Xenopus tropicalis: one gene and its partners. The protein of the gene in region 3 interacts with the protein of the main gene of each other region in a biochemical or structural test. Links are inferred from orthologs where the notes say so. Each region holds a gene or a part of one and is shown on either strand. Other genes may lie near its edges.

Evidence for each region.
Region 1: of the proteins of stat1 (region 3) and prkcd, one has a biochemical effect on the other in vitro, tested with the Homo sapiens proteins (2 studies listed by BioGRID). The link is inferred for Xenopus tropicalis from reciprocal best matches to the Homo sapiens genes STAT1 and PRKCD.
Region 2: the proteins of stat1 (region 3) and kpna1 form a complex in vitro, tested with the Homo sapiens proteins (2 studies listed by BioGRID). The link is inferred for Xenopus tropicalis from reciprocal best matches to the Homo sapiens genes STAT1 and KPNA1.

What each region holds. Positions count from the first base shown.
Region 1 is NC_030680.2:123,766,941-123,772,507, forward strand, and holds part of prkcd (protein kinase C delta type), read left to right. Parts: intron 1-1,248; coding exon 1,249-1,334; intron 1,335-1,439; coding exon 1,440-1,569; intron 1,570-2,271; coding exon 2,272-2,372; intron 2,373-2,677; coding exon 2,678-2,777; intron 2,778-4,188; coding exon 4,189-4,310; intron 4,311-4,392; coding exon 4,393-4,566; intron 4,567-5,567.
Region 2 is NC_030678.2:3,397,225-3,402,791, reverse strand, and holds part of kpna1 (importin subunit alpha-5), read right to left. Parts: intron 4,594-5,567; coding exon 4,505-4,593; intron 4,251-4,504; coding exon 4,151-4,250; intron 3,434-4,150; coding exon 3,270-3,433; intron 2,656-3,269; coding exon 2,577-2,655; intron 2,086-2,576; coding exon 1,960-2,085; intron 1,530-1,959; coding exon 1,402-1,529; intron 645-1,401; coding exon 466-644; intron 1-465. UniProt on the Homo sapiens protein: Functions in nuclear protein import as an adapter protein for nuclear receptor KPNB1. Binds specifically and directly to substrates containing either a simple or bipartite NLS motif.
Region 3 is NC_030685.2:43,531,049-43,537,226, forward strand, and holds the start of stat1 (signal transducer and activator of transcription 1-alpha/beta), read right to left. Parts: upstream 3,758-6,178; 5' UTR 3,614-3,757; intron 1-3,613. UniProt on the Homo sapiens protein: Signal transducer and transcription activator that mediates cellular responses to interferons (IFNs), cytokine KITLG/SCF and other cytokines and other growth factors.

The DNA.
Region 1 (5,567 bases), on a different chromosome or scaffold from region 3:
TAGGCCTAGAAAATTAAGGCATGCGTGCCATACAGATTGCATTTATCTCAAGGAAATCATGTTTACAGGCATGTGATCTATTATCCAGAATTTCCAGGACACAGAGTATTTCTGTACTTTGAAGCACCATGCCATAATACCACTTAAATATTTCAATATATAAAAACAGGACTGCCACCCCCTACTCCTAAGTTCAACACCTATCCGACAAGGCTAATCTAATGCTGACATAAAATTCTATCCCTTCTATATACAACTGGTTAGGGATGCACTTAATCCAGAATTCGGATCGGTCTTCAGCAGGATTCGGACTCGGGCGAATCCTAAAAATCACGCAACTTTTTGTCACAAACACGGAAGTTGAAAATGTAACCCTGCCAAAACCTAATTGGCATACGCTAATTAGGATTTGGTTCGGTATTCGGCCGAATCCTTTAAGAAGTATTCGGGGTTTGGCCGAATCCAAAGAAGTGGATTTGGTGCATCCCTACAACTGGTACACTAGGGAGTGGCAAAAGTGCCTTATGTATATCAATGAGACACAAGAACACCAGGGTTACATTTCTTGTTGTATTTTATTTTTAATTTTCTTCTGTATTTAAGATTATTGTAAAATGAATTGTAAATCTTGTACATCTGTTGTTCATCCTCTTGTAACATGTTCTTTTCGATTGTTAAATTTGATGCTTAAAAAAAAACAGTACTGCATTATGAATGCTTTTCAGAAGGCATGGTTTAGTCTACATTACTCTCCAAAGGGGATCTAAATCCCAAAAAATAATTTGATGTAAATTTACTCAGCAAGTTAGGTTGAAATAAGACATACGTCCATCACATTCAACCATCACGTTGGTCTGGCTATCCTTTTGTAGTTTACATTAAATTTCTATATTTAGTAGTTTCTGAGATATTAGAAGTTTTATACTGCTAATACCAGGCTCAACAACAGCAATCTTTGAAGGTCAGATTGTCAGTAGTTCCAGCTGTCTTTTTTATGCTCTTTCAATATAGTCAATGCTAGGGTTGCTGACCAAAAGTTTGGTGTTAGTGGTCTAAAACCTAGGATATCCGGAAAAACACTAAAAAACAGAGGAGCACACTTTAATTTTTTGGGTTTAGATCTCCTTTAACCCATTTTTCCCTTTTGCAGTGTTATTATATGTATCATACTATCATGTGTGTCTCCTTTGCCCGTAATAGGTGAAACAATCTCTTCTGTCATCTAAACATCAAAATCTTCTCTCCTAGAATGCAACGCTGCTATTCATAAAAAATGCATAGAAATGATCATTGGCAGATGTACAGGTACTGCTGCCAACAGCCGGGACACCATGGTGAGTGCCCCCTTTTTCCTCCCCCCCAGTTTGTAATCACACTTCGTAATCTGCTTGTGGTCCCAGAAAGGTAAAACCAAATCTGCTTCTGTCTCTTCTTTGCAGTTCCAGAAAGAACGCTTCAACATTGATATGCCACACAGATTTAAAGTTTATAACTACAAGAGCCCCACATTCTGCGATCACTGTGGCAGCCTGCTCTGGGGCCTGGTGAAACAAGGGTTAAAATGTGATGGTGAGCTCCTGTCAAACTGTTGGTTGTTGGTAGCTGAACATTTACTTTTCACGTGGGTTAATTATATGAAGCTGATGTCTTACTGTTGAAGCAAAGGGTTCTGGGTAGTTATCCAAAAGCAGACACCCATACCATAGTAATGTATATTGAAATAATTTTTGCTCACTTATTGCAAAACTTGCTCTCCATCCCCATGCAAGTTTTTATGGAGTGTTATTCCCTGACCTGATGTTATTACACTTTATTATTATAGTAGCTACAGTATATAAGTTGTTATTATTATTATAATAGTTACAGTTGATCTGAGGGGAGAGTGCCCGGCCCTTATTATTAAGCAGCTCCTCTTCCCTTGGTCTGGCTATGGGCTGCATCTTATGTCTCTTTAGAAAATAAATCTGGCTCAAGGTGTTAACCACAGCCCTGTCGTTACTGCCTGCATCCCCTGCCGCTCACTAACTTGTGCGTCCAAATTACAACTATGTGTCCCTCATGAATATAGTGTTGATGGATGCAATTCTTTAAGAGGCAAGCAAAAAACTGACACACTTTGCACGCTGTCTCAGAGTTCTTATATGACCCCTATAGACTATTAGGTTGGGCCCTGGGAAATACAGAGGCATTCTGTCACTAAAAATGGTTTCATTTCTTTGCTACATTTGTGATTTGTGTTGTTACCAACGTTATTTATTTTGTGTTATTTAGAGTGCGCCATGAATGTGCATCACAAGTGTCAGAACAAAGTGGCAAACTTATGTGGCATAAACCAGAAGCTTTTAGCAGAGGCATTAAATCAAGTCAGTATGGTAAGCACCGTGGGACAAACTTTTTAGTAACAGGATAGAATAGAATAAGGTGCCCGTGAAGCACCAGTAAAATGCTGATGGCCAGAGGCTACTTTCTAAATAAATATAATCTATGGGGGTGTCTCTCTTGTGTCACTATTGGGGCACTGTATTCTGTTTCTCAAAGCCATGGCAGCTGGAGCTCTAGGAAGTAACTCACCTGGAGCAGAGATATCCAAACACTGTCTCTGTCTGAATGTGACTGCCGGCTTTAAATGAACCAATGCACTTTGTATTGATTGCATCTTTTTGTGGTTTTTCTCTAGAAATCTAGTTCTAGAAAATCAGATTCTGGATTGGATAATATTGCCATATATCAAGGTGTGAACCCTAAAACCCCAGGATTGCCTATGCCTGATGCTACAGGTACGACTGGAAAATTACTGCAGTATAACTCACCCTTTGTTGTCAGTGTATTGCACAGTATTGTATGGCGTATAGCACAGCACTTCCTCCTCTGCATATCTGCAAATGTATGTATGTATGTATGTATATCTTTATTTATAAAGCGCTACTTATGTACGCAGCGCTGTACAGTAGAATACATTAATACAAACAGGGTGTTAATAAGATAATAGATAAATACAAAGTATAACAATAAATACAGATAAATACAGCTGCAATAAGTTAAGAGTCGAGGACACAAGAGGAAGGAGGTCCCTGCCCCGTAGAGCTTACAATCTATATGGGAGGGTAACTAACAGACACAAATAGGCAAATATAAGTGCTGTAGGTCACAGTGGGTGACACTACAATATAAGTGCCACTAATGAGAGTATCACAGGATATCACACGAACATGGCAGCAATTTATGTTAGAGACAACTTCTGCTAAAGCCAGCAGTATGGCAGCATCCAATCCCAACTATAAATGCAAACATGTAGAGATTGGGTTTTTGTGCATTTACTGAACATATAAGGGTAAAAAGTTTCCTCATTAAAAGAGGTAGATCACATTTAAAGTGATACTGACACAGAAAAAATACTTTTCAAAATATTAATGTATGGATAGGTTACTTGATGTTTATAAACCTGACAGTTTTGCCAACCCGACTGTCCCTTCTCAGGCTGTCAGTTACAGCTTCTAATGCTAACAGACTCCTGCTGCACAAATATGGCCGCCCCCTCATAGGGGAACATGGGGATCAGATAGGTAAAAGCATCAGGAAGTACTTTTATGGCAAAATAATAAAGTTCATTCAAAGACAATGTTATGTTATATTTAACAACAAGTTAGCTGTTAGTATGTTATAGAATATACTATATTATTTATAGTATTTGAATGAATTCTTTGCCTTCCTATTCTACTTCTTTCCAGCTTTTATATGGCCCGACATCCAAAACCAATTGCTCTGTGAGGCTACAGTTTTATAGTATTACTTTCGATTAGTTATGTTTCTTTTCAGCGCCTCTCCTATTTATCTTCCTGTCTCTCATTCATACCGCTGCTTGGTTACTAGGGTAATTGGACCCTAGCAACCAGATAGCTGCTGAAATTCCATACTGTAGAGCTGCTAAACAAAAACTTAATTCAAAAACCTCATAAAATAAAAAAATAAATAAGACTCTATATCACTCCAATATGACTCCATTATATTAAAATGTGTTTAAAGGTGAACTACCCCTTTTAAGCCTTTTGGAAATTGATATACACAATACTGGAGAAACATTCTGGCCATGGAATTAGCTCTTGAGCTTCCGGCCCTGCAGCAATTAAGTAGTCGTCAGTTGAGAATATCCTTTAGCTGCGTCTTACTAAAACCCGTTTCTCCCTGTAGATAACCAGTATGATAGACTTTGGGAGGGAAGCAGCCCGCATCCTCACATCAGCCTGAGCAGCCGTTTGAAGATTGATAATTTCGTCTTTCACAAGGTGCTCGGTAAAGGCAGCTTTGGTAAGGTAGGTAACCCCGGCCTCTTCAGCCCTGCCTCATTCTTCTCTTCTATAGCCTGCATGCAGCCTTACCTCTCTCCTCTTGCAGGTGCTGCTGGCAGAATTAAAAGGCAAGGGGGAATATTTTGCCATAAAAGCCTTGAAGAAGGATGTGGTGCTGATTGATGATGATGTTGAGTGCACCATGGTGGAAAAGCGAGTGCTAGCATTGGCCTGGGAAAATCCTTTCCTCACCCACATCTACTGCTCCTTCCAGACCAAGGTACCAGCCTGAGCAGAAATGGTGCCTTTTGCATACATTTCAAAACACATCAGTTAATAGAGCTTCTCCAGCAGAATCCTGCATTGTAATCTGTTTTTGAAAAACACAAACAGATTTTTTTATATTTCATTTTGTAATTTCACATGGGGCTAGCCATATTCTTCATTTCCCAGGGTGCTACAGTCATGTGACTTGTGATAAACTTCAGTCACACTTTACTGTTGAGCTGCAAGTTGGAGCGATCCCCCCCCCCCCCCCAGCAGCTGATCAGCAGAGCAATGGGAAGGGAGCAAGATAGCAGCTCCCAGTAGATATCAGAATTGCACTCAATAGTAAGAAATCCAAGTCTGACTTGGGACTCCCCCAGTTACATAGGAGTAGGAGAAACAATAGGTTAGCTGAAAGCAGTTCTAATGTGTAGCGCTGGCTCCTTCTGAAAGCTCAGACTCAGGCACAATGCACTGAGATGGAGGTGTGCTGAAACAAGAAACCACACAGTATAAACTAGAATATAAAATGTAACCACACAATAAGCACTAGTACAGAATGAGTTACTAACAAAACAGGGGGCCAGGGAATGCATTGGTCAGTTCTCCTATGTACAGTGAAGCAAATTCAGCCAGGCCGGTCACATGTCTATTATACGTTACTTTTACCATAATTAGCCCTGGAGCGCTCCCACAACCCCCTTTTTTTCTTCAAATAAGGAAATAGAGACCAACGACCTAAAATTAGAGTTAAAAATGCTGCAGCGCTATGGGAAATAGTGAGATTCTCTTTCCTGCAAATAACATCAATTTCAGGCCATTATGAATAAGACTTAGCATTGTGCTGTGTTTCCTGTATAGTTTGCACTTCCTTCTTTGTTATTTAAACTGGGCTCAAATGTTAAAACTGAGCAATCTGCCATTTGGGTCAGGAAAGAATGTTTCCCTACAAGATCTGACAGTTGCCTCATTTGGGGTTGTTTGTTTTGCTCTGAATATTCTTTGTAGAGTGGT
Region 2 (5,567 bases), on a different chromosome or scaffold from region 3:
GCCGTTCCTGCACTGGTACAGCTGGGGTGTTTGCTACAGAAACCCTACTATAGTTTATATAAATACCCCGCTGTGTAGCCCCGGGGGCAGCCATTCCTGCACTGGTACAGCTGGGGTGTTTGCTACAGAAACCCTACTATAGTTTATATAAATACCCAGCTGTGTAGCCCCAGGGGCAGCCATTCCTGCAACGGTACAGCTGGGGTGTTTGCTACAGAAACCCTACTATAGTTTATATAAATACCCCGCTGTGTAGCCCCGGGGGCAGCCATTCCTGCACTGGTACAGCTGGGGTGTTTGCTACAGAAACCCTACTATAGTTTATATAAATACCCCGCTGTGTAGCCCCAGGGGCAGCCATTCCTGCAACGGTACAGCTGGGGTGTTTGCTACAGAAACCCTACTATAGTTTATATAAATACCCCGCTGTGTAGCCCCGGGGGCAGCCCACATGCTGGCACTCACCATATGCTTCTTCAATAAGAGCGCAGTAAGGGTTAATGCCTGTCCCGTTCCGCTTTGCCTCTTGCTCGCCCAGCCTCAGTATGTTTTCTAAGCCATTCAGGGCCACCTGTACGATCTTGGAATCCATGCAAGTCAGGAGGTCACAAAGAGGTTTGATGCAACCTAAATCAACCAGGTACCTAGGGTATAGAAGACAGTCAAGGGTTAAGCGATGTTTATACAGAGACAAACAGGACACCTCTCAGGCCCTAATGATCCACCTCTGTCATTTGCTGCCACTTAAAGTAGTTGTATCAGCTATAATCAAACATGTGACCTGTGCTCTGATATACTTCAGTCACACTTTACAGCTGCGCTGCAAGTTGGAGCGATATCCCCCCCCTCACCCCCAGCAGCCGATCAGCAGAACAATGGGAAGGGAGCAAGATAGCAGCTCCCAGTAGGTATCAGAATAGCACTCAATAGTAAGAAATCCAAGTCCGGCTTGGGACTCCTCCAGTTACATGGGAGTAGGAGAAACAATAGGTTAGCTGAAAACAGTTCTAATGTGTAGCGCTGGCTGAAAGCTCAGACTCAGGCACAAGGCACTGAGATGGCGCCTACACACCAATATTACAGCTACAAATACATTTGTTGGTTGAAGAATAAAAGGGTTAAATGGCAGAGAGAATTATTTGCTGTGTCATTTAGAGATAAACAGTCCCCCATAAATATCATGATTTGCATTAGTATTTCAGCCAAACATTTCATTTTCAAGGGCACAGCACTGGGTGGTCAACTGTGTAGCAGAGGCTTAGAGACCCTGGTAGAGAAATCAAACTGCACTATATACTATACGGCTCACTGATATCCTCTCGTATCAAGGCTAAGGCTCTGTGTGTCCTGGTACTTACACTTTAATGTGACCAATTGCAAACAAAGGCTGACAGGACATACCTGATCTGTTCTGCGGAGCCCCCGGATGTTGCGTTTGTGATAGCCCACGCAGCCTCTTTTCTTGTCCTGAATTCTGCCGTCTGCAGAATGTTTATCAGAGCTGGAAAGATGTTGGCCTCAATCACTGTCTGAGCAACGCAGAACAAGAGAGAGCTCAGGCAAAATCTGCTGCATCTGCTCAACTACTTATTACTGGCAAATGGGATGTAATGGGATAAAGGGATCGATCACCTTAAAATTAACTTTTGGTACGATGGAGACAACAGAAGTCATTTTGCTTTTGTTTTTTTTAACTTTTTTTTTCAAATTTTTTAATTACTATGGCTTAACTACCCTAGCAACCAGGCAGAAAATTGTACAAACCTGCGTTTTGTACAATGTTATCGGTGCGTGTATGGCCAGCTTAAGTACGGATGCACCAAATCCATACATTTTGGATGTGGTGAAAAGCCATAGAGAGCAGTTACAAATGTTACCAGAATTCGGTATAACTATGGGCTTCGCGCAACACGGGGCGGCCATTTTACCTTTACGTTTGCAAATAAGAGGCTGAATTACCTGTATCTGAACTCTGTTCCCGGCTGTGATGTTTGATATCGTCCAACATGCCTCCTTCTTTATAGATTCCTTGGGGCTACTCAACAGATGCAGCAAACTCTGTAGGGCCGAGCAGTTTAGAATCACCTATGGGGTAAAAAAAAAAAAAAAAATTACATTAGACTTTCACAAATTACACTATTAAAAGGGGTGGTTCCTATTCTAGTTATAGAACTGCCAATTCTAAGCAACTTATCACTTGGTCTCCATTATTTATTATTTAAGGTTTTTTTAATTATTCCCCTTCTTCTGCTGACATTTTGCAGCTTTCAAATGGGGGTCACTGACCCCAGCAGCCTACAACTACTGCTCTGTGAGGCTCCAGTTTTATTGTTATTATTACCTATTATTACTTGTTTTTCTGTTCAGGTTATCTCCTATTCATATACCAGTCTGTTATTCAAACCACTGCCTGGTTGCTAAGGTAATCTGGATCCTAGCAACCATATAACTGCTAAAATTATAAACTATAGAGCTGCTGAACAAAATATAAAAGAACTAAAATTGTATTGCTTATCGGCTACGGTACAGAATCAGCATCAGCTAATCAAGACACAATTCCTTACACTAACACTTACTTGTGTCTGGATGTCATCCCCAGTCACTATGTTGCCAACAGCCCGCAGGGCAGGAGACACCACTTTGTAATCATTGTGCCTGAAAAATTCCAAAAAAAAAAAGAAAATAAATAAAAAGAACTTTCTTAAAGAGAAATATCAAACTCCTTCAACCTAGAATCCCCTGGGGCAGCAGATTAAAGGTGGCCATACGCGGTAAAGGAGCGGATCTTCTCCCAATATCCCCACCTATGTGTGGGCGATATAGGGCTAATTCACTCATTTGGCCCTGGGGCCAGACGATGGAATCAGAATGGCGGGAATAGTCGCTGCCAGTTCAGGGACCGTATCAAAGAGACGATGCAGCCCCCCAATGCGACGGAAAAGTCAACCTGCCCGATTAAGATCTGCCCAATTTTAGGCCAGATGTCAGTTGGGCAGGCCTGTCGTTCGTGCCCATACACGGGCAGATAAGCTGCTGAATCGATCTAAAGGATCTATGGGCACCTTAAAACTGCTGTCTGGACTCAGTGCCACCCAATTAGACAGCTTGTCTAAACTGCCCAATTGAGATTAATACATGGAGTTGGTTTAGGTATTATTTGACTGTTTATATGTATCCAAAGCAGTTTATCCAGCCATGTCCCAAAAACAAAATAAAGGAAGATACTAAAGTTCTGCATTTCATGAAGTCAAGTACAAACAGTGGCTCACATTAGTAGTTCCACTAATCTTCTACACACGCCTGCATCGATCACGGCCTGGATCTTATCGTTCGGCCCATCTGACAGATAGGACAGCGCCCAGCAGGCATCGGCAAGTACATCAGTGTCGTTGACAAAGAGAAGCCAGGACAGGACAGTGAGGCATGGGGAAACCTGGGGAGGAAGACAATATGGCATCTTCAGCAAATAACTCACCTAAAGTGTTATGATACCAGTGTGATAATGATGCAGAAGCAGCAGCCGCCAGTAATACCACTGGCCAATAAAGGACAAGAGATAAAAAGCAAGTGATGGTATTTTGTCCATTTGATAGACATATGCTGGCCCCCTGACTTCCATCAGCCCCTAAGGTGGAAGTGCAGGAGGGCCACCTATGGGTAAGTGGAAGGAGAGGAGCTCTACGTATTTTGGTTCTGCTTCCAGTGTCAATAAACACAAGATGCCAGTGCTAATGGGGCCCCTGGGAATAGGCATATGATATGCAAGGGAAGATTACTGACCAGTTAAAAGATGGGAAAAGAAAGTTGCTGATGCTGCCAAGCAAATGAAAGGCCTATATATTAGTTATGTGCAGGCCGGCCCGATACCCACGGGTTGGGTGGGTTCAAGCAGACCTTGGCACATCAACTGTGGGTGTATTCGGATTGAGCTCTTTCGCTCTCCAGGGCTTCTGGCCAATGAAATAACTGCATACATTGAAACTGCTGGTCAAAAAATAGACTGGATATAACAAGGTTACTAAAGAGAAGGCTGGTTACAAAAAGCATGAACTGATGCTGTGGGTACAATAACCATGTGTTTATCTGCCCAGTGCCAGCACGCTAAAGCCCATTTAGCAATAACACTGAAATCCAACTGCCTCACTGTTACCTTGGCGAATTCAGGGGGTGGATTCTTCCCTCTACAAAGGTTAGACAGTGCCCACACTGCATTTCGAGTCATTGTAAGACGGTTCTGCTTGGACAGTAATCTGAAAAATAATACAAGAATATAACGGAGTAAATATGGACTCCATGTTGACAGTAATAACCACATCCCAAGTCCATGAGCTCTAAACATTCAATATGTATTTCCCACCCAATGTAACCCTAACCTCTGCTCAGCACCCTGCCCCTATAGTCAATTCTAAACATCTTTTCTACTATATCTTCATACATAACAAGTACAGCTACTTAAAAACACAGGGAAAAAATCATAAAACACCCCAAAGTTCTAGGTACTAACTGTAAAAGCGGAGGCAGAATATTGCAGTCCAACACATAATCCCGACACACGGTGCTGTCTCCGGCAATGTTCCCTAGAGCCCAGACTGCCTGTTAGGGAAGAGAAGAAAATGACATTCGTGGTTTAAACCAAGGAATCAAGTCAGTATGTGATTAGCAATTTGTAGCATTGTTTGTTTCTTTTTTGTGGGGGTTAGTCAGTAATGTAAAAAGGTTGGTTTCAGGCACCCAGTGGTTGGAATGTGTTTGAAGTACATTGCACCAAGGTCCCCAGACTTTGTCAGATTTGTTAGTTGCCCTCTGATATCCTATCTGTAAGTTCTAATGGAGGGGAGGGATGTACCCATCCAATGCACGGCAATTGTTTTTTGTTTTTTTTTTGCATGAAGGGGGAGTACACAGTTGCGCAAACACACGTGGGCTCGCGGTATCCCAAGGAGACAAATATGGGTGCCAATATTCTAGGTAATTCTAGGTTTTAGGCCAGGAAGTCGAATATTTGGGTCCAAAAAGAGTGAATGTGGGGACATTTCGAAATCATGTGGAAAAATTAAGCCCCCGCATCTAGAGCAACTGTCGTCAGAAGAGCGCCCCATTTATATAAATCTGGCAGGGGTTATCTATAGGTTTGTATTGCACTAATTTGTCTCTAGCAGGGTCTTGCCAGTCTTTGCTTAGTCTTTGGGTCCGGGTAGTTGCAAGTAGGGATACACTGAATCCAGGATTCGGTTCGGTATTTGGCCAGGATTAGGGTTCAGCTAAATCCACGGTCCTGGCCAAACTGAATCTGAATTAGCATGAATGAGCATATGCTAATTAGGATTTGGAAGGGTTAAATGTTAGGGAAATTTTTTTTTTACCCCTTCCGGATCCTAACTAACATATGCTAATTAGAATTCCGATTTGGTTCGGTATTCGGCCGAATCCCTTCGGATGGATTCGAGGGTTCGGTTTATCCCTAGTTGCAAGTTCTGGTATATTCTAGATATCATTTTGTCAGGGGAGGGGGTACACGGGGCTTCCTCTGAGTGAAACTAGTTGGGGCGAGTGTGTGGAAAATTGTG
Region 3 (6,178 bases):
CCAACAACCGCCACAGACACAGTACTTAGACCTAGAACACTTGATAATACAACCAAGCAAAACTAAACTACTCTCAAACACCTACAAGCTCTTAATCACTAAGAGATATGACCCACGGCCTAGGGCAAAGCTTAAGTGGGAGACCTCTGGGATACATCTAAATCCCGATGACTGGGAAGAAATCACGGACAATTTATACCAGCCCCTAATAAGCAAAAGAGACAGACTTATACAATTTAAAATTATACATCAGACTTACCTCACCCCACAAAAGCTACACAATATGGGGAAAACTGACTCCTCTAACTGCCAAAGATGCAAAGCATATGGTCAACTTCATGCACCTAATATGGGACTGCCCTGAAATACAAAAATTCTGGGGCAAGGTCACAGAATTTATGGGAACAGAACTGGAACTCAACCAGTACTCAACCCGGCTACCTGTATACTGGGCCTCCTGGACACTCCGATACCTAGAAGGAATACAAAGCTACTACTACTATGAGACTACTACTTTTTTATGCCAAAAGAACCATCGCTCTGAGCTGGATGGGCCGGACACCCCCATCGCTCCGCAATTAAAACTGTATAAACTTACCTACCTCGTTAGAGGTTGTCCGGCGAAATTTGAGAACATTTGGTCTCCTTGGACAGACTCACCAGCCACAACAGTACAATGACTGTTTACTCTCCAATCTCTTCCTTTCCTTTCTTCCCTCTCCTTTTCTACCCTATTCTATTGTTGTTAAAAAAACAATAAAAATCAACCTTTAAAAAAAAAAAAAAAAGAAAGAAGAGAGGGCTGATCTGATGTTCTTCCTGTTAGGAAAAACATGGCAGCAGCCTGCATGAAACTTATAGTTTTGCACAATTTAGTATCATAATAAAATATATAATACGTAGTATAGTAGTAATACACACCTCCAGGTTATTATTAAACAAGTTAAAAAGCAAAGACCAAAGACAGACCCCTGCGGTACTCCACTAACAACACTGGTCCAATTGGAAAATGTTCAATTTAACAGCACTCTCTGCAATCTATCCTTCAGTCAGTTCTCTATCCAATTACAGGTATGGAATCCCTTATCCGGAAACCAGTTATCCAGAAAGCTCCGAATTACAGAAAGCCCGTCTCCCATACCCTCCATTTTAATTACCTAATTTTACCTAAGAAAACTGGAAAAACTTATTGACTCGAGTATAAGCCTAGGTAGGCCCTGGACACCCTGGACACTCATTGGTGAACCAACCCTAGTAACTCTGGGGTAGGCACCCTGGATATTTACCGCTAAAAAGTCAACAATACATTCCACCATCTTGTTCTGCCCCCTAGAAGCCTGCGCCATGGCGTATAATATAAAGGTTCCGTTTCCAGCTTCAAGAACTCCATTAGCAAAGGGAAAAGTCGTGTCTCTTCCTTATATTTTATTGTCAGTAGCCACCGGCAAACAAGCTAGTATAGGCCACCAGTAGCAGGTAGGTAGGCAGGCCTGGACTGGGATTCGAAATAGGCCCTGGCATTTCAAGTACACAGGGGCCCAAAAAGCCCCCCAGCCCAATAAATAGTGACTGTCTGTGGCATCTTACATCAGCCCCTCTGGCATTTGCCAGAACCCAGAGATTGCCAGTCCAGGCCTGTAAGTATACAATACCTGCCTAGGGACCCACTGACTGAGCTTTCCATATCTGCACAAGGTTGTTTCCCATAATTCCCATGCACTCCCATAGTGCAATGCGTACCGGCCAAGGCCCAACCAGAACATTCAGAACACTCTCTGTAGGGCACAACAGTGATCCGAGGGGGTCAGCTGACATCCAGATAAATAAACGGCTCATGTACAGAATCTGTATATAGTGATGCACTCATTGTAATATTATTGTACAAAGAACTACAATTCCCAACATGCTCCAAATGACCACAATGGTGATTTATCCTTTTGACTTTACTTAGCTAGCAGCCATAGAGCAGGTGGTAGTGATATAGGGTAATGTATAATTTAATAAATCTGGGATTTGTAGTTCCCAGATTGCCTTCTTATCTGTGCCCCCTTCCTTTGTTTCTCTCCTTATCACCCAACACCCTTTCTGCGTACGCATTTGTACATGCCCAAAATATTGTTGTGTGCACATGCATGCGTGCGTTGGTTCGTGCACGCACGCCCGTCCAGCCCTCTGTCCAGCCGCGGGGAGGGAAGAGGGGTGCCCCGTAAAACAAACTTGTTCAGCCTCGAATCCTTATACTCGAGTATAAGCCGAGGGTTCGTTTTTCAGCACATACAGGTCCATGTTAATCTAGGAAAGTCCTGCCCAGTTTACCAAATTAGGAAAACCGGGCAGAGAGTTTTGGCCCAGACAGCCCTTCTGGAAACCGTGTTCTCTGGGGAAACCCGACTATTCAATGTATTTTTACAGTGCAACTGCTTCACATACACCAATAACAGTTTATACAACAAGCTAAGAACAGATGCATAAATTACAATAGGTTTGGTTCTTACACGTGTCAAATGAAATCATAAAATAGGGCAATCATTGCCAGTAAATAGAATATTCGTAGGTAATAAATGAACAGCTATAAACTTTAAATTGTAAAATAATATATATTCTTAATTTATGAGGAGCAGTATCTCTAATACAGGGAGTGGAACGGTCTATTTGCACTAGAAGAGCTGAATTTAAAAATTAATTGTTAGGGGCCTTCTTTTGCCACCCCTGGTAAACTGTTGCACACTCCCGTCTTATGGCAGGAATGGTCATGCTGGCATCATTTTTGATAGCGATATTTTATTCTGTAAGTGAACATGACATGATTTAGTTATTAATTGGATATGACAACTGAAGGAGAGGGTAAAATCAAAGACAACCCTAAGGCAATAGGCCATTAGAGCGCTTGTTATTTCTAGGGTGTTCTAAAGTTTGCACTGGGAAAAAGGGTTATTCTGTCTTATATTCAAATAGAAATGTCTGTCAAAAAACTCAGAGATCAGAGTTGAGACTGAAAAATACAGGATAAATTTGTCACCCAGTGGTATTGGAATACATTCAAGTTAATTAAACCCACAGACATGTTGTGTAGATTTTTTTTTTTAGATGAATTGTGCAAATAAAATTTGCTTGGCTAAGTAGTGGCAAATATTAAACAATAGCAGTGCAGATTTGCAGCTCAACTTAACAGTACATGACAGCCTTTAGAGTGCTCACAAACCAATGTAAATTAAAATAGGGGTTTCCAAAAAACAAAAGTCACTGTGGTAAGTGATACACCAGCTGTACACAAGGATTCACAAATGGGCAGGATTACTCAGCATAAAGCAGATTAAACATGGGCTGTGCACACTGGAGTTTATAACCAAGTAGACCAAATACAGAATGATCCAGTCGGCTTATTAATCAAAACTGGGCAAATGTTAGCAGAGGCAGAATGATGCACACAATTACGAAAATTATATAATATATGCTGCAGTATAGTGATGAGTATATAATAGACCAAAAGAGCAATGGGGTTGCCCAGACAGGCACAGTTATAAAAACAGAATCATTAGCAGAAGCGTTTATACCGATGATGTCCTAAAATGGGCGCCGTACAGTGGAGTAAAATGTCTCTCTTTCAACGTACCTGACGCCGTCCTGTATAATAAGCTCAAGAAAGCAAAATAAAACGTCTTGAAATTTACTTTGATTCCGGATACCTCTAGAATCACCAACTCACACACACAAAACCGAAAGAAGAAATGAGGGTACAGCCCTTACTTCCTAGACTGCAAGCTATCCCCGCCTCTAAATCTTGACTTCAGCAAATCATAAAATTGTTTGCTGGCTGTTACTTTAAGTTGGATTGCCTCCCTCTGCTTTGATGCGGACACTTCTTAAAGGGCACCGAAACGATTAATTTGTGCACATTTAATCTTGCTGTAGCAAACAGGCTACTTTTTACAGTTTACTTTTTCAGAACTTTTCTTCTTATATGTATTATATGTAACACTATTTTGTCTTAGATTAGGCCAACCCAGGCTTGTAGTGTAATATAGAGCATGTGTTACATGTGACCCTTAATTCTTCGGCATGGGCCTCTGCTATGTGGGAGATGTAAGATAGGAGCTGAGGGTGTAGTTGAACTACAACTTTCTGATGCTGTGTAGTGTAGATGGTATAAATGGACGCAGAAAGGTTCTTGCTGGTGAACTATAATACAGATTTATTGGTCAAAGACACAGATGTTATGCAGGGTTATCATACTCACAGACATGCAGATTGAAATGGTACAATGAGGGATTTCTCTTTTGTAGAAGAGAGAGTGTACACCGGTTTACCCCACCTCTTGGTAGAGTCTGGGCCGGGATATACACCTTTCAACCAGTACCCCTTGAGAGATAGTGCAAGTAGTAGGAACTCCTTCAGGTTGATAACCTCTAGTGGATTGAGTCCTCCTAGAGCCCTGCACTGAGACAACATTGCCGGATAGGAGAAATACTCCTGGATCTAATCATTCCTTTGGTAGGCTAATGGCCCTTTCTAGCTAGAGCTGACTATGCTCACTTCTACTAGAGAGTGCTATTAAATAAATCTGCTGTGCTTACTTATCCTCATTCACAGGGCCCTGTCCCTGACTTATACAATTAGTAAGGTGTTCTTTGGACTAAGGTGGCTTACTGGGGCCTGTTGCAGCACCCAGGCTCAGAAGGAGCTGTGCTTAGGTAGCAGACAGGCAGCCAAAGAGGAAGCCACTCCTCCCTGCTAGACGCTATTTCAGTCTGCAGGGGGAGTGGTCAACCTGACTAAATCTATAGGGAATAGTGTTAGAACAGTAACTTAAGTACAGGGGCTCTGCCCAATAACAATAGAGGTGTGAAGAGGTAGAGGATAAAGCCATAGGGAGCTTAACCCTATGGGTCCCTACATATATATATGTATATGATATTTATACATTTACTTATTTTGATCTACTCAATAAATGTACATCATAAAAAGAGCTGTATTTACCATATAGGTATCAATATATGCCCCAAAATAAAAAATATTGCAGTCATTATAACTACTGCAAAATCAAGACATTTACTGACTTTTATGTGTGGTGAAAAAATATTCTCACATAAAAGTCTCAAAAGACATTCTCACTAGGTGCAAAAATCATTCTCCCAAATCTAAAATGAATTCTATATCTTTTTACTCCAAACATTAAAGCTTTGATAACATTTTTAAAAACCACCTTCCATTTTGCAGTAACTTATCAGTCACATATCCTTATGCTGCTGGCACACGGGAAGATTAGATAAATCTTTACTACCACGGGCGATGGCACATGCATTACCTCATGAGGAAACTATGGGCGACTTTGGAAAACCGAAGCTATGTGTATGCCATGCCACCAGCAATTCACATTCTTGCTGACAGGAAGACACTTTGGGGGAGATTAGGCACCTGCGGTAGCGAAGATTTATTGCATGCATCTAATCTCCCCGTTTGCCACCAGCCTTGTATACTAGGGGGCACATTTACTAATACACAAACGGGCCGAAAGCGTCCGAATGCGATTTTTCGTAATGATCTGATCTTTGATTTTTTTCAACGTCGTTGTGACTTTTTTCGCGAATTATCGCAACATTTTCGTCACCGTCACGATTTTTTCGTGAATTGTCGCAACTTTTTTGTCGCCGTCGCGCCGCTCAATATGAAAAAGTCGTGACAATTCGCGAAAGTCGTAATGGCTACAAAAAAGTCGCGACAATTCACAAAAAAAGTTGCGACGGCGACGAAAAAAATCGCAAAAAGTACGAAAAAGTGGCAAAATGTTCGTTTCCAATCCATTTTTTTCCCATTCGGATTCGTGCATTAGTAAATCTGCCCCTAAGATTAGACATATTAATATGAATACCAGGGGTCTTTTATGTGTCATATATGCCCCCTAGTATGCAGACCCCTGTAAACCATATTTCTCCTACAGTTCCTTATGTACAAAGATCATAAATATGAGTTTGTTGCCCAATATGCATATATTTACCTAAGTATGTGGTATGTACAGACCCCATAATATATGGCTGACTGTGGCTTCTGCAAAATATTCACCCTGTTTGTTAATTATGTATCATTAGTAGAGATGATTCATGTATGTTGAATGTATATACCCATTTATTGTACAGCACAACGGAATATGTTGGCACTTATAATGTTTGAGGGGCTTTAT